2 linked regions of the Arabidopsis thaliana genome follow. The protein of the gene in region 1 interacts with the protein of each later gene in a pairwise test. Each region holds a gene or a part of one and is shown in the gene's direction. Other genes may lie near its edges.

What was found.
Region 2: the proteins of CPUORF7 (region 1) and AT5G50010 interact in binary tests that used the Arabidopsis thaliana proteins (3 or more experiments, as listed by UniProt).

The regions. Positions count from the first base shown.
Region 1 is NC_003071.7:13,334,187-13,344,012, forward strand, and holds CPUORF7 (transcription factor bHLH155-like protein), read left to right. Parts: upstream 1-4,900; 5' UTR 4,901-5,243; coding exon of another isoform or gene 5,244-5,340; 5' UTR 5,341-5,491; coding exon 5,492-5,589; intron 5,590-5,886; coding exon 5,887-6,006; intron 6,007-6,198; coding exon 6,199-6,280; intron 6,281-6,354; coding exon 6,355-6,396; intron 6,397-6,519; coding exon 6,520-6,579; intron 6,580-6,709; coding exon 6,710-6,829; intron 6,830-6,989; coding exon 6,990-8,195; intron 8,196-8,301; coding exon 8,302-8,403; intron 8,404-8,658; coding exon 8,659-8,778; intron 8,779-8,817; coding exon of another isoform or gene 8,818-8,889; coding exon 8,890-9,066; coding exon of another isoform or gene 9,067-9,123; intron 9,124-9,151; coding exon 9,152-9,238; 3' UTR 9,239-9,476; downstream 9,477-9,826. UniProt on the Arabidopsis thaliana protein: Transcription factor that may regulate root development.
Region 2 is NC_003076.8:20,343,071-20,352,896, forward strand, and holds AT5G50010 (transcription factor bHLH145), read left to right. Parts: upstream 1-5,544; 5' UTR 5,545-5,613; intron 5,614-5,762; 5' UTR 5,763-6,160; intron 6,161-6,271; 5' UTR 6,272-6,368; intron 6,369-6,466; 5' UTR 6,467-6,485; coding exon 6,486-7,421; 3' UTR 7,422-7,760; downstream 7,761-9,826. Other genes in the region: AT5G50000 (Protein kinase superfamily protein), read right to left, coding at 172-306, 380-554, 634-830, 922-1,043, 1,642-1,963; AT5G50020 (DHHC-type zinc finger family protein), read left to right, coding at 8,140-8,171, 8,463-8,559, 9,196-9,381, 9,772-9,826.

The DNA.
Region 1 (9,826 bases):
CTTTTAAAGATAGCTCAGTAATTGTTAAATGTCAAAATATAAACATATTAAAAACAAAGAACTTGCAAAATTTAGGATGATATTGGCTTAAAGGAAATAATCATTAACAGAAGGTAACGACTTCATGAAAACATCTTTAGTTATCTCAAATCTCAATGACTTACTTCAAAGGCGACGATGTCATGAATATTTATTTAACCAAAAATTCTCCATGTATATGTAAGCTAATGGTACAATTTATGTTCAGCTTTCTCTATTCGTGTGTAATCTTAAAACATTGTTTTGAATAATTTTATAATATTTAGAGTTTTAAATTGAAAATTTCTGAAATAAAGTAGGAAAAAAGAATGATTAAAAATGAAGGATAATATATTTATATGGATTATTAATTGAATTACAGCTAAACAAGTTAACAGATAAAAATGATGAAAAGGGGAAAATAGATGTTGAGTTGGTGCGTTGCATTAGAACACATTGATGGAAACAAGTCATGAGAGCATATAATAAGAGCCTCCAGATAGAATATTATGAGCTATCAATTGTAAAACATCATCATTTTTTAATTTCTAAGTGGAACCCAAATCTGATATACATATTTCAAAATACTCTCAACCCTTGGGGTTTTGATGAACTTACCAAATGGTCGACAGAAAACACTTGTGAATTGTTGAGATAAATGTATTTACAAAGATCATCTTTGTAAATGTCAACATCTTAAAAAAAAACTTGGACTAGGAATTGTTTTAGGCCGTCAATTCGAGCCTAACAATTGTTGTTTTTGTTCTTGTTTTTGCAAAGTAATTTTACACTTGAAAAATATCGTTACAAACTATTCACAAATAGTTTAAAATTAGAGATGTTACAATCTAGATTTTAGTTAGTTTTAAAATTTAAAAAGTTACGATTTAAAATATTTTGTATCTATCTAAAACATGTTACCGAGTGGTATAATGTGGTTTGATGCGATTTCAATTTTGGTTATAATTTAACTACCTATCTTTATGTTTCTAAAAAAGTGTTGGTTTGGTATTTTACTTCTTTGGTTTGGATCAGATTCTGTCTCGGTTTATTAAATGACAAAAATAGAGAAAATAGTCAAATTAAGGTTTTGTTTGCTTGTAGAATCAGTTGTTTTCGGTTCAGAGATTGAGCCGGTTTGGTTTATTTGGATTGAACATCCTACTCTAAGAATTGGATGTTTTTGCTGTTTAACTTGCGTCTAAATTTTACACACATGAGTTATCAATATTTCAATTTAAAGGTGACTATAAGTTTTGACAAATATTAGTGATTATTAGCTTATGTGATTTTGGTTATATAACGGACCCGCAACCAAAAATAACATAGGCCAGCACATAAATTATTCGAGGGTATTTGCTTTGTCCAAGGATGATTATGGTAAACAAGACAAAATGAGTGAGTATGAAAAAGACATTGGATTTTTGTTGACAATACAAAAAGGGAAATAAAAGAAGCGATGTAGTTAATCATTTTGTGAGAATATGTATGGACAAGTTATAAAGTTCCAATATGTTTCAACTTTATATTGGCAAATGAAATCATTTTTTTTTCTAAAGCTGAAAATCCTCAAATTCATTGCGAGAAAATAGAATAACAAATTGTAGTTATAAATAATTACTAGATTTTAATCCGCGGTATACCGCGGGACGATTTATTTTTAAAAGTAATATATATTAAAACTTGCAAATTTTATTTTTACAAAATATTTATATTTTACAGTTTATAATTGTTATTAAGTAACGGTATACCACGAATTCATGAGACAATTGTTAAAAAAACTGAAGTTTTGACCCCTATTAAAACAACATATTAATAATATTTTAAAATTTTATAAATATTGATTCAAATACATCCACCATATAACCCAATTCCAAAATAAAACACGTTCTGTAATTTTTTTATCCGTCCCATGATTTTTTTCAAAGTAGTAATTTTTAAAATTTTAGAATTATTTTTTATATATAAAAGTTTTGCAAATTGTATCATTCTCTAATACATTTATATTTTATAGTTTAATTTTATATATAGTAACATTATACATACCATATAACATTTTTGGTTTTATATAATTTTTTCTAAATTAGGATGATTTGATATGTTTAATATTAGTGGTCTTAAAAAATAATAAATTAAAGATTTAACCCATATTGAAACAGTGGATTAATTATATTTTACTTTTTTATTAATGTTGATTCAAAAACCCGTCCCTCCAAATCCGTCTTGCCAAAAAGTCATTTATTTTATTAATATTAATTTTATTAATGATATGACTCTGAATTATAATCTAAATATTTTAGCTAATAACATAGGAGTGCACCATATTTATTTAATAGGGAAATGTACCATATGACCCGAATGCATTTTTATCCAAATCCACCAAAAAAGTCTTGCAAAAATACTATAAAGATAAGAAGCGATAGTCGGTTTTGATAGATATAAGATTAGCAAATATATTAGTTAGCTTAAATTAGTTAAAGAATACAAATTAAAAGGGTATGCACCATATTTATTTAATAGGGAAATGTACCATATGACCCGAATGCATTTTTATCCAAATCCACCAAAAAAGTCTTGCAAAAATACTATAGAGATAAGAAACGATAGTCGGTTTTAATAGATATAAGATTAGCAAATATATTAGTTAGCTTAAATTAGTTAAAGAATACAAATTAAAAAGGTATATTACACTTTATTCAAATATTGTATCAAAACTTATATAACACAGAGATTTGATAATTTTTAATTGTTGAATACTTCTTTTTTGTGCTAATTTTATGTGATTAAGATTTAATTGATTTCATATATAAAATATTAAATTGACTTATTTGTTTATAATTTGGTAACAGATAGATATTTGAATATTCAGTATATTTTGCTTCAGTTTAGGAAATCTTTGATGACCCGTCTTTAGATCCAATAAGTCCTATAATCTAGAGATTAATTTGCAGTATACCGCAGGTAGGCTTATATTTTAGTTAAACTAAAAACTTTTATTGTAAAGATGATTTAAAAATATATGATATTATTTTATTTGATTTTAAATGTATAGTAAACTGTGAGTTGTATATGTTTTGTTGATATTATCTATATTGTTTAGTGTTTAAGATTATACACTTGTAGTTTGATTGTTAATTTAAGAGTTTCACATGTAGTATACCATCTTGTATTAATATCGATCTAAACCCGTCAATTCTAGGATTTTTCAGCTTATATTAAAAATTGAATCACATCTAATATGTTATTAACTATTGTAATATATAAGATTATAAATTTTCAATATAATATGTATGAAATTGAATATGAATATTTCAAATTTATGTCCCCTTACTCAGTAGAAAGTTTTCTTAAATCTATTTTTCACCCGTTATAATATTATTTCATGTATTGAACAGTTTATATTTGTTTTTAAAAATTCAAATTATGGCATATGCGAAAAAACTCTAATTATTTTTTTATAATGATGATATTATTTTTCCGTATAAATAGAATCATATAAAGATGAGAAGTGAACTATAATAATTAATAAAAAATTAATATGATAATTTAGATACCAAATATAGTTTGTTGATTTTAATTGGTTACTTTTTTAGAAATTAATAATCTATTTCGTTTTTCTAATTAAATTAAATTAATTAAATTTAGATATCAAATCTTATATGTTGATTTTGATTGGCTATTATTTTTGGAAATTAATATTGTATTTCGTTTTTTAATTAATTTAATTAATTAAATTAGTATTTGACTTTTTAATCCTTAAAGAGATAAATTAATTTACTTTTTAAAATTTTATTTCTAATGGCATACCTATGTAATTACTTACAAAAATTAAGGTTATATTTAAAATGTACTTCCCAAATAATATAGTAGGATTGTCACTACGACTACGAGGGACACTTGCTAAATTTTCGGAATATTTTATCTTATGAATTAGAAGGAAAATTATTATGGAAGTTGTAATAAAACATGTACAACATTTTAAATATCATAGGTTTTTTATTACAAAAGTATTATATTTTAATAGTATATGGGAAAAACAATTGTCTCTTCAAAATTTATTCAAAATAAAAAAAAAATTAAACTATAGACGAATGAGCCTCGAAAACGCAATTCCTCAAACATTTTTTTTTACAATCTTATCCACCAACGTATGAGTCAAATCAAACAAATAGACACCTTAAAGTAAAGTATATACATAGTTCACTAATATTTTTGCTAGACGGTTAACCTCTTTATACATATACGAGATTCGAATTATCTACTCTGTAGATAAAATATATGATACAAACTTATCAAGAAAGACAATTGGGTTCGACTCACAAACTCTTGCCTTTAAGAATCCTACCACTAATTCCGCAGCTCTAGCCTCATCACTCTCTTCTCCCATGGGATATACAATTCATAGTAGACTTCCTACAACTTCGGTAAACGAGCCGAGTATACAATGTTTAGCGCACAATTTCCGCGGGAAATACAAAAAAGATTGTGATGTTAATGTGATGAATTTGTAATTAAACACACGATAAATTAGTGCAATGTGTAAAATATTTTATAAATTTGTGAGTAATGGGTAAAAAAAAAAGTAAAGAAGGAAGCAAAGTTCAGTTGGTGAATCATTTTGCTGGCCATTACTCTATAAGAGAGAGAGATCCTATCTCCATAAAATCCCATACCCTCAAACACACACACACTCACCATCCCACTAACTCGAATAGTTAACATGCGCACACCGATCCTTGGCCTTTCGTTGCTAAAATGAGCATGGTGCGTGATTCACCCGCTTACTTGCTCGATTTCTCCTTCACCCTTTTAAAAAGGAACGTCTTTTAGCTTACCTCTGCCTCCTTTACCCTCTCTCTCTCTCTATCTCTATCTCTGTTCTTTCCTTTTTCCGGCGAATTTCTGGGCTGAGATTGTTAGTGTCTCTGAGTGATGCAGAGATCAACTGTTGTAGTTAATCAATATCTTCTGACATAAGCTAAACTCGATTCTTTCTTACAATCTCTCTGTCTCTCTCTGCTTCCTTTTCTACTGTCTTCTTTCTTCTTCTCTAGCTTTTGAATTTTCAATATTGATTTCTCCCATGGCGAGTAGCAGTTGCAGCAGATCTATCTCTGTTTCAAATTCTGATTCTCTCGGTGTTTTTTGTTTGAGCTAGGGCTAAATTAGTTTCCTTCTTGGGTTTTTATTCGTAATCCGATTCAAAGTTTGTATCTTTGGGAGGGATGGGTAAGAGGCAAATATCACAAGATGAAGTAGGTCCGCCCATAAAACCAAGAGCTGGTTTACGAAGGGAACAAGCTGGAAGAGGTTCTTACAGAGGTAGTTAGTTACTTTGTATCTCATCGAAAACGAATCAAAAGAAGCTTCTTTTTTTTTTTATTAGAGGTTGGGGAGGAGATAGTATAAAACAACTGTTTAGAGTTCTGATTTGTGGTTTTTGAGTCCGGGGTTTTGAGGTTTACCCTTTAGAATGGGTTCTACTTCTCAAGAGATACTGAAGAGCTTTTGCTTTAACACGGACTGGGACTATGCTGTGTTCTGGCAACTTAATCATCGAGGATCTCGAATGTGAGTCATCTAAACAATTCTCTTTACTGTCTTTGCGTGGTGGATCATTATAATTGTCTACGAGTTAGAACTGTGGTAATTGATTTAGGTGTATTGACTTCAACTTGCTAGAGTGGAAATATGGAACCTTATATCGAAATGCAGCAGCTTTAAGTTAACAATTGTAGTTTAAGTGTCTGAAGATTGTTTCTGTACTTTTAAGTTTTGTGTGCAGTTCAGGATTCTATTTCTTTATATGTTTTAGTGTTTTAGTTGACCAGATAGTTTCTCAATTTTTTGAATAATGAACACCTGTAGGGTACTTACCTTGGAGGATGCTTACTATGACCATCATGGGACGAATATGCATGGAGCACATGACCCCCTTGGGTTAGCTGTGGCAAAGATGTCTTATCATGTCTATTCTCTAGGGGAAGGGTAAGAATATATTGCTCTGATTCACTCTTATCATGCCTATAGTTTGATGTGCCCTTTTTCCTTCTTTTTTTATTTGACAGTAGCCACATAATGCAAAGCTTTTGTTGTGTCCTTGAGCTTGATGTTAGCTTTTACAATAGTTAACAATCTTGGGTCTATTGTTGAATTATGTTATCATATCTATATAAACAGGATTGTAGGACAAGTTGCAGTTTCTGGAGAACACCAATGGGTATTTCCCGAAAATTATAACAACTGTAACTCAGCATTTGAGGTTAGGGACTTTCTATCTGAAATTAAATTTGTTTTCTTCGTGTTTTTAAACCAAATGTCTTTTTTTAATTACAGTTTCATAACGTTTGGGAAAGTCAAATTTCTGCTGGAATTAAGGTATTTGGATTTTTCTTTAGTGCTCTTTCTGTCTGCTTTATTATACATACTTGTCAAGAACATCCTCAAAGTTTGCCACTGGAGACTTTCCTTTTTAAAATATCTATTCTTCCTTCTCCGCAGACCATTCTTGTAGTAGCTGTTGGTCCATGTGGAGTTGTTCAGCTAGGCTCTTTGTGTAAAGTAAGTAAGATCTTAAAATTGGATGCGGTGTTCGCAGTTACAAAATAATAGCCAGGAAGAACACCTGCACACTTATAATAGATGGCACATATATACATATCTGGTCTTATTTTGTATTTGTTTGGAGCAGGTTAATGAAGATGTGAATTTTGTGAATCATATCCGACATTTATTTCTGGCACTTAGGGATCCATTGGCAGACCATGCAGCAAATTTAAGGCAATGTAATATGAACAATTCGTTATGTCTGGTAAAGATCTTCTTCATTCAAATATGGATTCATGTTTTTTCTAGATTTCTTGTTATTTGCAAAATGGGGAGAGTAAAGTGCTTAGGGTTCTTCTAACAGTTACTCAAACCTCCACTGACTTCCTGAGTAGACCATGATGTGTTGTATAATTTTGTTGCAGCCAAAAATGCCTTCTGAAGGTTTACATGCTGAGGCTTTCCCTGATTGCTCTGGAGAAGTTGACAAAGCTATGGACGTGGAAGAGTCCAATATTCTAACTCAATACAAAACTAGAAGAAGTGATAGCATGCCTTACAATACTCCTTCGTCATGTCTTGTCATGGAGAAGGCAGCCCAAGTTGTTGGTGGTCGTGAAGTTGTGCAAGGATCTACTTGTGGGAGTTATAGTGGTGTTACGTTTGGCTTTCCAGTTGACTTGGTTGGTGCCAAACATGAGAATCAAGTAGGTACTAATATAATCAGGGATGCACCTCATGTGGGAATGACTAGTGGCTGCAAAGATTCAAGGGATTTAGATCCTAATTTACATCTGTATATGAAGAATCATGTGCTCAATGATACAAGCACATCTGCTTTAGCAATTGAGGCTGAAAGATTGATAACAAGCCAATCATATCCACGCCTGGACTCAACTTTTCAGGCTACCTCGAGAACAGATAAAGAAAGTTCTTACCATAATGAAGTGTTCCAACTATCTGAGAACCAAGGAAATAAATACATAAAAGAGACTGAGCGTATGCTGGGGAGGAACTGCGAGTCTAGTCAATTTGATGCTTTGATCTCATCTGGGTATACTTTTGCTGGCAGCGAGCTACTAGAAGCGTTAGGCTCTGCTTTCAAGCAAACGAACACTGGTCAGGAGGAGCTACTGAAGTCTGAACATGGTTCAACAATGAGACCAACAGACGATATGAGTCATAGCCAGCTCACGTTTGACCCTGGCCCTGAGAATCTTCTAGATGCTGTGGTTGCTAATGTGTGTCAAAGAGATGGTAATGCGAGGGATGATATGATGTCGAGCAGATCGGTACAATCATTGCTTACTAACATGGAACTGGCAGAACCCTCAGGTCAGAAGAAGCATAATATTGTTAACCCAATTAATAGTGCTATGAATCAGCCACCAATGGCAGAGGTGGATACCCAACAAAATTCATCAGATATTTGTGGAGCGTTTTCTTCAATTGGATTCTCATCTACGTACCCCAGCTCCTCTAGTGATCAGTTTCAGACATCCCTGGACATACCCAAGAAGAACAAAAAGAGGGCCAAACCTGGTGAAAGTTCTCGACCTCGCCCAAGAGACAGGCAACTTATTCAAGATCGAATCAAGGAACTTAGAGAACTTGTGCCTAATGGATCTAAGGTGATTTTTCTCTTCCTAGCTACAAGATTACTTGCACCTTCCTTTGTAATGAATTTAACTTATAATATATTTTTGTCATTCACTAATATTTTTGTCACATTTTCAGTGCAGTATCGATTCTTTGCTAGAACGAACGATCAAACACATGCTCTTTTTGCAGAATGTTACTAAGCATGCTGAAAAGCTCAGTAAAAGTGCTAATGAAAAGGTAAAAATGTCAGCTTTCTTGATAACTGATAATCTCTGTTCTATCCTAGAAATTTTTATTCCAGCCTCCATAGTTTGTAAATGAACACATTAAGCAGTTTGTTAGGTTTGATTGATTGATGTAGCAAATAGTGGATCAAATTTCTGAATCCTTGAATGAGAAGATAGGATTATTAGGCACATGGAGATATATAGAAAAACTCAACTGAAAATCAGAAGTAAATATCAAAATTAGCTTATACCTTTGTAATCTCAGATGCAACAAAAGGAAACTGGTATGCAAGGTTCAAGCTGCGCAGTGGAGGTTGGAGGTCATCTTCAAGTAAGCTCGATCATCGTGGAGAATCTGAACAAGCAGGGGATGGTGCTTATCGAGGTATGTAATCTTACATTTTGTCTCTTTTCTTTGGTTTAGTTTAATCTTTGTTTGAACTCGAGTCCCAAGTTCTGCGAGTGTGTATTAAAAGTATTTTTGGGTATTGGACAGATGTTATGTGAAGAATGTGGCCATTTTCTTGAGATAGCAAACGTCATAAGGAGCTTAGACCTCGTCATCCTAAGAGGTTTCACCGAGACTCAGGGCGAGAAAACATGGATATGCTTTGTAACTGAGGTAGGAAGTCGAATTACCCAATTCATGAAAGAGATTCCAAAGCAAATCAAAGTATTTTCCTTGGTTTTGATTGAACTTTGGATTAGTATGATATATATGACTGACTAACATCGAGATACTGATATATGAATGGCAGAGCCAAAACAGCAAAGTAATGCAGAGGATGGACATTTTGTGGTCTCTGGTGCAAATATTTCAACCAAAGGCCAATGAGAAGGGGTAACAGGCGTGGTTGCAGAGTTTGCGTTTACGTAAGATAAAGAATAGGCTTGTGTGGGCTTGTACAGTGTTGTTGTGACACTCACTGCAATACTTTCATTTGTTTGTTTTGATTTTTTGTATAAAAGATAGGACTTCAAAGTTGAGTGTTTAGTGTGTTTATGATTTGCATTTGTTTGCTTTTGAGTTTTTGGACCCTTTGAAGTTTGTATATATACATGACTTGAAACTTTGATTTTCTTCATACGTTTGATTTGCAAGCTGTGGAATTATAAATTAATGGTTAGAAATTTGCAAGCATGCATTGTAATTATCATAATCAAAACTGAGTAAACAACAAACACTAAACCCAAACAAAGAAGTCTTAGAAAGAAGAAAGCTTTCACTTTCACCAGCACTAGTCCCTGTTCTGCCACAGTCTCTTCGCTGCAGAGAGTAAGGGCATAAAATTTGTTCCTTCGAATCTCGGGTTCAGAAGCAAAATCTCTTTTCTACCTCTTGTCGAAACTGTGGCGTTGTTGAGTCTGATGAATCGACTTCAAAGGCTTCTCCTTTCTGCTCCTCGCTTATCTCCTCCGATCATACTTCCTTC
Region 2 (9,826 bases), on another chromosome or scaffold:
TTGCATATAGATTTTTTACTTCAGTGAAATGATGAAATGGTTACACTACTCTAGATCACATTTTTTACTTCAGTGATTCCTCAAGATTTACAACAAAATATAATTGTGAAACAACCAATATGCACATTTCAATTAAATTAACTTTTCTTTGCTTAATCTATTCAACCATACCTGGCGGACGACGGCTGAAGTGACCTCAGAGAAAGTAAGGTCAGGGTATGGCATGTCACAGCAATATATCTCCCATAAGCAGATCCCGAAACTGTATACATCGCATTTTCGATTATACGGGTTTCCATTGAGAACCTGCAGCCAAAGTTTATTTGTTATAAAAAGTTGGTTTGTTACCAATCTTGATGATGCATTATCACTATAGTACCTCAGGCGCCATGTAGCCAAGTGTGCCAGTCTCTCCTGTCATGTCATTAGGGTTAGATGCTTCAACTCTCGCAACTCCAAAATCTGCGATTTTAACAGTCCGGGTTTTGTCTAACAACATATTCTCTGTCTTTACATCTCGGTGAACAATCTTCTGCGAATGAAGGTAACTCAACCTAAAAGCAACATAACAATAACCATTAGAGCAGATAAACGACTTGAGAAGGCAGCGAAAGAAGGGAGAATATAATGTACCCTCTAGCGAGATCAAGAGCGAGCTGAACAACAATTTTAAATGTTAGTTTTCTTCTTCTGTTCTTGATCAGGTAAGATTTTAAAGCACCACCTGGAAGATATTCAACAACAACACAACATATATTGTTTGGCATAGCTAATGGACCACTCTCTGTTTGCAACTGTAACCCTGATGCACCCATTGTTGCTCCTATAAACTGCAAAATATACATTCATTGATGACCCAAATCTTATTTATATCCTCAATATATAACAATGGTAAAAAGTAAACAGAAGTGAAATATGAACCTTGGTGACATTAGGATGATCCAATTTATGCCAAACAGCAACCTCCTGAGCAAAATCAGCTCTCAAAGACACAATCTCAGCTTCTGATCTATGACCTTCTTCACCCCAATCAAGCAACTTCACTGCTCAATTTCACCACAATGATTAGCTCATTTCTTCACTTTAAATTTAATAACAGTAAAAAAGCTCTTTAGTTACTGCATTCAAGGGATCTATTATTCACTCTTTTTTTCTTTAAAATTTATTTCATGAAAAAGAGAGATTGAGACAACAACAGCTGGAATCACATGAAAGATCCACAAAGCAAAAGAATCATAATTATCCAAGTAGAGACCTTTCAAGTAGCTGAAGAAACACTTATGATAGCAAAACCCGTGTCGGCTTCACGGAGATCACAAGATTTGCTTCTACCCTCTAAAGAAAAAAACTCTTCAAATCCAAAACAATTCAGCAACTTTAATCTTAAAAATCCAAACTTTTTTTCAATCTAACAAGTTTCATGGTCAAAAAACACGAACACAGAACTAAACTATTCAAGTACAAAGCCTGTTTCGGATCCGACATTTCAAGTACAAATGTAGTAATCCATTCTTAAATTCGAGACTTTAAACTAAACTTGAAGACTTTAGCATTATTTCACAGTTACAAACTAATAATATAAAATGAAAGGGAAAGGTTTCGATGAGAGAAGGAAGCTAGAACGACGGGAAAGTGACTAACCGGCAACATCTTGACCGTCGTAGATACCACGATGAACGGTACCAAAAGTGCCACGAGCAAGAACAGTCTTGATGATAAGTTTAGAAGGATCGATCTCCCACTCAAGTCTCTGTTTCCTCTTGCCAACAAATCCGCCGCCGTTTAGAGTGACAGGGGAAGAAGAAGCAGAGCCACCGATGGCGACGGCGGTTGTGTCTTCTTCATCTTTCTTCTTGTTCTTCTCTAAAGTCAAAGCTCTGCTTAAGTGTCTCTCTAGTTGCTCGTCTAAGCTTTTTAGATCAATCTGATCTGCTCGAACAAACCCATCCTTTCCTTCTTTCATTGTCAAGCAAAAGATCCTATGAATCTTTTTTTGGTCTTCTATAAGTTGTTGTTGATTTTGTTTCAACAAGTTTCTTCTCTCTCTCTCTCAGATAATCAAACGCAGAGGAAAATGGGAAAAGAAAATCATAAAAAGGGAAGATGAGAAGAGAAGAGAAGACCGCATGTGAGTGAGCACATGGTCTTGCCTCGACGCTAATGTATCTGTATTTACATTTCTTTTTTTCCTTTCATAAAATAAATACTTTTTTGTTTTGTATTTCCAAAAACAATAATCATCACTTATTATCAAAATAAGTGTTGGTACCAACCATTTTATTGACGAGAATAGTGAGTGCAAAAGTTTGGCCCATTACTCTGGATGTTCGGCCCATCAAAGATTTGAGCTCCCTCGTAAACCTAAATACAAAAATATTAGTATGTGAATTTCGACATCTACATTTTTGACGTCGTATGTGGAGTTTATCATACTTCTGATTTTGGTCTTTCCAACTTGGTTTCACATACTATGGATAAACTACTAATATAAATTGATGTTACGAAGTTAAAAGATATTAGGAAGAACTAAGCCGATCTTTCTCATCTTGATTTGATATTGACATGAAGATATCGGTTGTGGCATGTCTAAACAATTGGACATGCTTGTTACAACTCAGTGTGTGTTTGAAGTACGCTTTGATGCTATGAACTCGACCAACTCCCGAGTTATACTATGTAAAATATTGTTCTATTGTCAGCATATAGAGTATAATGATAAGTGGATCCAATCATGTCTCTTGACTTTTTTATTTTTTATAAATTGAACCAAATCTATTTTCACATACGCTTACACGTATGGGATACATATGATAATCAATTGATTTGAAGATTGAGGAATGGAACTTAGAGTGGTGGTTAAGTGTATTGGTTGCTTTAAATTGCACGAAGCGTGGATGATTTTGTTGGCGTATCCACGTACCAAATGGCTCCATGCATTGTCTGTTGTCCCTACCAAAACCTTCACTATTCTTCTTGAGATCAATATTAAATATATATATTCTCTCAAATAAAGCATATACACAATGGTGCTCTTCTTCTTTTCTCTTTTTTTTTTTATTTTAAATGTATTGTATAATCGCATGTTCGTTACATATTAACCAAATCAAATTAAAAGGTCAAATATAAAACAAAAGCTAGAATTTCTATGCCGAAAATATGGGAAATGAATACCTTTTGAAATTTGGGAGTGGCCATTAGAAGCTCCTCAATTTTATTTTATTTTCGCCTTTAAGGTGTACAAATTTCTTTTTAATTTAAAATTTAAAAATAATTAACATGATCAGCTCTTCCTCAACTATAACTCTAATTCCGTGTACTTAAATAGTTAAATTATACTATAAACCCACTTAGTTGCTTTATCTAAGAATTAAAGAATGTGAACTCATCTCCCATGCGTGTTTTCCTTTACTCAGAAGGAAATTAAATTTCAATATTCTCTGAAACCCATTACAAAACACGGTCATGCTAGAAGACTTGAAGTCGTGATATGTAGCATTTTTAATGCGTTTTGTGAATATATGTAAACTATATAGATGTTATATAAGTACTCTCGGTCCAACATTTTGGAGCACATTATACTATGATCTTGATATTCAGCCAGTTTATTATGTCATATTTTTCGAGAACATTTGTTGAATTGAAGAACATAAAAGATAGCAAATCAACATCTCATATATGTGTCTTTATCAAAAAAAAACATCTCATATATGTGTATTTTTTTTAACCACGCAAAATGAGAAGAGTGTTATTTTATGTGTATAAAAATGGTGGACCTAGGATATGATGATTGCTTTAGAGACACACAGAAAGAGAGAAACGGTGGAGGGTTTGTTTTGGGCCCCTGACACCATTAAAGCCAGTAAGGATTAAGTGTATCCACTTTTAATTAATCCTAATTTATATACTATACGGATTAGTAATATTATCCTAATGGTTTTTGTATAACTTAAATATTTGGCGTGGTAATATTAAATGTTACTCTGCTTGTATGATTGTGAGCAACCAGATCTCTCTTATCTGTACATCAAAGATTTGGTTCAGGTTACTAAATCATGGGTCTTCTACATCTATCACTATTGAATATAGTTTCAGATGTCTTTGATTGTCAATGAAAAATATCTTGGGTATAATTATTACTAGTCAGTGCCATTTTCTGACAAGAGAGAACGTGTCTGTTTCTTCTGGGGGATTAATTAGGTTTAGATAATTTTGGTATCAAGTTTTATGATTGATAATATACGATTAAGTCATTGGCTAACTAGCTAAAAAAACTTTTTTTGGCTAACTTGGTAATTTTTGGTGATGCAGGTTGTTCATTTGGGTTTCTGTATAGAAATTATCTCCTTTTTTGTCCTTCGAAACTTATCTTACAGTATCTAATATTGAATTTATATTTTCATAATATAAATTATTGTGGATTGGTCATAAATTATGATCTCAATAATAATGTTCTTATGTTATCATTATTTGTTTGTATTTTTATAAGTCAGTGAGTATGACTTGTACCGTTCCTACTTCTATAGTGAAAACGGAAGTCTTATAATGATAATGAAGCTTGTTTTTTTTTCTTAACACTTTAGTATATATAGAAAAATATACATATTTTGGAAGAGATTATAATAAAGAAAAGATGAAGAGCAATCAATTGTCTTGTAGGATTTTCCTTTCTTCTTGTTATATTTATCGTCACATATTTCATCGTTTTTTCACTATAAGTGCAATAGATACATTTTCCACGAAAGTGTTTTGGAGATCCATATGAAAATAGACCAACCAGAATGGGAAGACAAAACATAATGTGAAACCCAAAGAAGATGGAAATGGAGGGTGCAAAAAGGTAAAAAGTAAAAGTAGAAATGATTTGGGGTTTGAACGGTCAAGCCATTGCAAACGAGAGTATTTGAGAAATGATTGGACCTTCTTCTTCTTCACATTGGATACTTTCACTACTTTTCTTACTGACGATGAACGAAAGTACGAAACCAACAAAATACATAAGCGAGCGTCTTATAAAACATGATTGCATGAAGTAAGTATACTTTGGCTTCAAATGGATTTTTTTTTTTGTATAGCTTCATTGATGATCATTTTTATATTATGTGAATGATATTTGTGTTTCGGTGGAATTGAAAGATACTAGATTCCGTTAGCTGAATTTGTTTACATGTGATGAAAAGTGAAAGTCGACTGATTCTTCTTTCCAACCAAAACAAGCTATTTGGCATAATTTATTTTTCCACCAAATGGGCAAATGTATATCTTTTAGCCAAATATAAATAAGCCGAAAAAGCATGTTAACAACAATATGGATTATGAGTATATCTTACTAATTAGTAATTACATCGAGAAAAATAAACAACTATTTAGATTTTGAACCCACCAAATTCAGCTAATTTTCCCAAAAACATTTGTTATCGGATTTGGTAAACACTGTGGCATCACGATACCTAAACTTTAACGCACGCACGCATCTCTGTTATGATGAAGGTCACTTTCGTCTTTTTCTCTTGTATATATCTTCTTCCTCGCTAACTTCTCTTCGCCATCACTGAAACTAATATCTCTCTGCTTCCTCCTTAGAACTTCTATTTGCTTCTCTTGCATTCCACTTTTGTGAGTTTCTATTATCTTCAGTTTTCGAGATAGAACTTATAAACTCTGTAATAATATGCATTGTGCATATTTTTCTAGGTTAAGTTATTTGTTTTAAAGTGTTCTGTTTCTTGCTAGCACTAAATCTATTGCTCTCGTTTATTTTGCAGATTCATTTGAAGTAGTGAGATTGACTCCAGAGATAAAACAAGAAAGAGCAACAAAGCAACAGCATGCGGTGGTGGTTGTGTCTTTCTGCTTATGTTTTTCGTACAGTAGTAGTCTTCTGTCGTGTGATTCTGTAAACTGCGATCTTACTTCAGACATAGCTTTTTTATGTAATGGGGTCGTCTTTTTTCTTCACATTCCCTTACTTTGTCCGCCAAATTATTTAAGACTTCGTTTGGATACTCTGTTTTGGGAGAAGGAATCAGTTGGGGAGAAAGTAGTTATGGTTTGTCAATCAGCGGGACAGACAAGATTTCGTACACTCAAACACGAACACGGTATCACAGGAAACATTGTAGTTAGAGTCATTGCATGCTTTCAACCTCTCCAAGATTGCCAGGTTATTTTCTTGTTTGATGAGTTTATGTTATTGCAATATATTTAGATTTTTAAACCACCAGAACTTTTTTTTATTGATTTCGTTTTAGCTTTGATGTTGTGTATTTTGCAGGCTGAATATTTCCGTCAATTGTTGAAGCCCGTCACGTAGAGTAGCTCGATACTTATCGTTCTTGTTTCAAGCCTAGTTTCTTCTATCCATTTAGTTGGTAAGTTCCAGTCTTTGCACACATAATCTTTTGACCTCCCATTCTTGATTATAAGTAGCTGATTTGTTTGAGATGATGATGTCCTCTGTTTTGGATAGTTGATTTGTTTAGTGTTGGATGGGACAAGATCGTGGGTTTGGGTTTCCTACTCAGCGCTTGTGTTCCTTGTCTTCCCTAGCTCTGTCTCATCTCGGGAAGCAAGACTTGAATTTAGTATCTAAAACCTGCGGCGACACCACCGACATGTTTTCTACTCGTGGATCTTATCAAGTTTCTACCCAAGTCTCTCAATCCTATTTTGATGGGTATTGTGGATGGGTTCATGGGTCATCCCACCTACAGCAGCAGTTCTTGCCTCCTCAAAACCAATGTATGAAGCAAGTACCTCTTCAAGTAGACGGTGTTATATCTAAAGCTGAGGAACAATGTAGTCAGAAGAGGTTCCTAGTGTTTGATCAGTCTGGAGATCAGACGACTTTGCTACTCGCTTCCGATATACGGAAATCTTTTGAGACCCTAAAACAGCATGCCTGTCCTGATATGAAGGAAGAGCTCCAAAGAAGCAACAAAGATTTGTTTGTTTGTCACGGAATGCAAGGAAATAGCGAACCGGATTTGAAGGAGGATTCGGAAGAACTAAATGCATTGCTTTACTCTGAAGATGAGAGTGGTTATTGCTCTGAAGAAGATGAGGTTACAAGCGCAGACCATTCCCCAAGCATTGTAGTATCAGGCCGTGAGGACCAAAAAACATTTCTTGGAAGCTATGGACAACCATTAAATGCTAAAAAGAGAAAGATACTCGAAACCTCGAATGAGAGTATGCGGGACGCTGAATCGAGCTGTGGTAGTTGTGACAACACAAGGATTAGTTTTCTGAAACGTTCTAAGCTGTCTAGTAACAAGATAGGAGAAGAGAAGATATTTGAGACTGTAAGCCTCTTGCGCAGTGTAGTCCCCGGGGAGGAACTGGTGGACCCGATCTTAGTCATCGATAGAGCCATTGATTACCTTAAATCATTGAAGATGGAAGCGAAAAATCGAGAAGCATGAGGTTCTTTGTTTGTAGGATACCTAAGACATATTAGCATTGGCAAGTGGACTTGGTTTCTAAACAAAGTAGTAGACATATTGGACCGTGGTACTCTTGTCAAGCTACAAAGGGATCAGGTTGTTGCTAGTTGGAAGATAAACCAAATAATGTTTCGGAGTTGCAAGAGAAGGAATTGATATTAAAATGCAAATTGAATATTTCATATTAGTTGATGATTAAGATGGATTGCGAAATTTTAATTTCAGTCGTTTAGCTGTTTGTTATATCATGTAGTTGCTTCTTCTTTTTCTATAAGATTTTGTCGGTGTGGTTGTTATTGTTCATCTGTGAGTCGTGTGGCCGAGAGAATCATAAATGGGAAAGTTGAATAACCATTTTCAATGATAGGCCAATTATAATGGTAAACACACAATTAATTTAACTTTTTTACAAATGATTAAAGATGTTTGTTTTCGTGCCAAACAGACATGTGATTTGGTGGGATATTTGGCAGTCTTTTGTCAATATGGTAGCAATTTTTGCCTATTGTTTCATGATTAAGACTCTTATCACTTGTCATTTCCTGACTTTTGTGCATAGAACTAGTGACATGTGATATACTGTAGTCCCATCCAGTTTATAAGTTTTGAATACATGTCTCTAGCCATTCAGAATAAATCTTGCAGCTAAATGTTTTAGAAACCGGACCAGATACCGGTTCATCCCAATTTCAGCCACATGAACGATTCTTGGTCTGCAGGACCGGACCGGTCCGGTTTTTAAAACATTACAAAAATAATTTTATATGCGTAATAAAAAAATGAAGGAACAAAACTGTAATGTTCGTCTCGGGAGACACAATCCAGAAACGAAACGCCTTTTGTGAGAGAGAGAAGAGAAGAGAAGAGAAGAGAAGAGAAGAGAAGAGATCGCACCACACAAAAACTACAATTTTGTTTTGGAAATTACTCTCACCCACCTGAATTTTGTTGCTAGAGAGACAACACTTAGGTTTTGGGCGGAGTTCTGATGTGAAATGAATCGGCGTAGAAAATTTTCAGGATCCTCCAATTCGTCAGAGAGTGTAGCGAGGAGTGTCTGATCCGTTCGCTGATTCTAATGGCTGGACGGGTCTTCGAAGCCTGGAAGGGAAGTAATGTAAGCTTTTCTTTTTCTTTCTTAAGGCGTCTCGATTTCGCTTTACTCTTTTCCCTTTTCTGGAATCTACATTTAGGTTTTCTTAAAGGCGACATTTTTATGACTTCACTGTCCTAGTTTTAAGAAAAATAATTGCAGAGAAGAATGTTCTGAGTGGATTTGTTGTTTTGATGAGAACAATGTGGACATTTTTGAGGGAAATTGTACTTTTGTGTGAAGAAATTAGTATCATCATATTCAATTAGATTACATTGGTGAGCTTTATTGGATTCGACTGTATATGTTGAATTTGGTGGCTTTAAATTTCGAATCTTTTTCAACTCTATCACTGTTGATAGTGTCATTTATTGTTATCATTGCGAAGATCTAAGTTTGAACATATATACCGTATTTGTTAGATTTGGTTTGGTTCCATGCTGATGCATCACCATATTTACAACATTGATGAGCTTTCTATTCACTATTGGTTCACTCTCCAAGCATGAACTTGCATTTTTGGTGAACTCTATCAGTCTATTGTCAGATTTTGTTCAATGGAACCCATTACCACTTGTGAATGTAGCTTTTGATGCAATGCTCTATGCTGTATTTATTCTGAACATGATGATCATCTTCTCTTTTGTTGGTCTTTTGCAGAAGTTTCTGTTTGGTGGGAGATTGATATTTGGGCCAGATGCTTGGTCTATTCCTTTTACCTTCCTGCTCATCATAACTCCCGTTTGTTTCTTTTCTGTATTTGTTGCAACACATCTTCGCCGCGAGCTCTTACCAAACAATGCGGGACATGTGTTCTTAGTGGCAGGAGTTCTATTTACTGTCTTTGTAAGTTTTCTCCAATGCCCATTTGATATTTGATTTCTTGTTCACATGTATCTTGTATACCTTATAATCTTATCATGGGATATTATAGGATCTTATCAACTCTTTTATAAGTTTTGAATGTTGATTATATACATGCATTATAGTATGATTCACTTGTAATTATACGACAATAAGTTAAAAATCTTACCAAAATTTTGAAATCACACCTCAATAACATGTATCTTACTGTGTTTCTTGTTATGTTCTTTCCTCTAGCTTAGATATAAAGTTTGAAGTATTATTTTGAATGTTGTCACTTTTTGTGTGGCTTTTGGATTATGCTTTTTTTGGGCAGGTTTATTATTCTTCCTTCATTTATGTTTTTTTTAAAATCATGTAAATACTTAATAGGTACTGATCCTTCTCTTCCTCACTTCTGCGCGGGATCCTGGAATCGTTCCAAGAA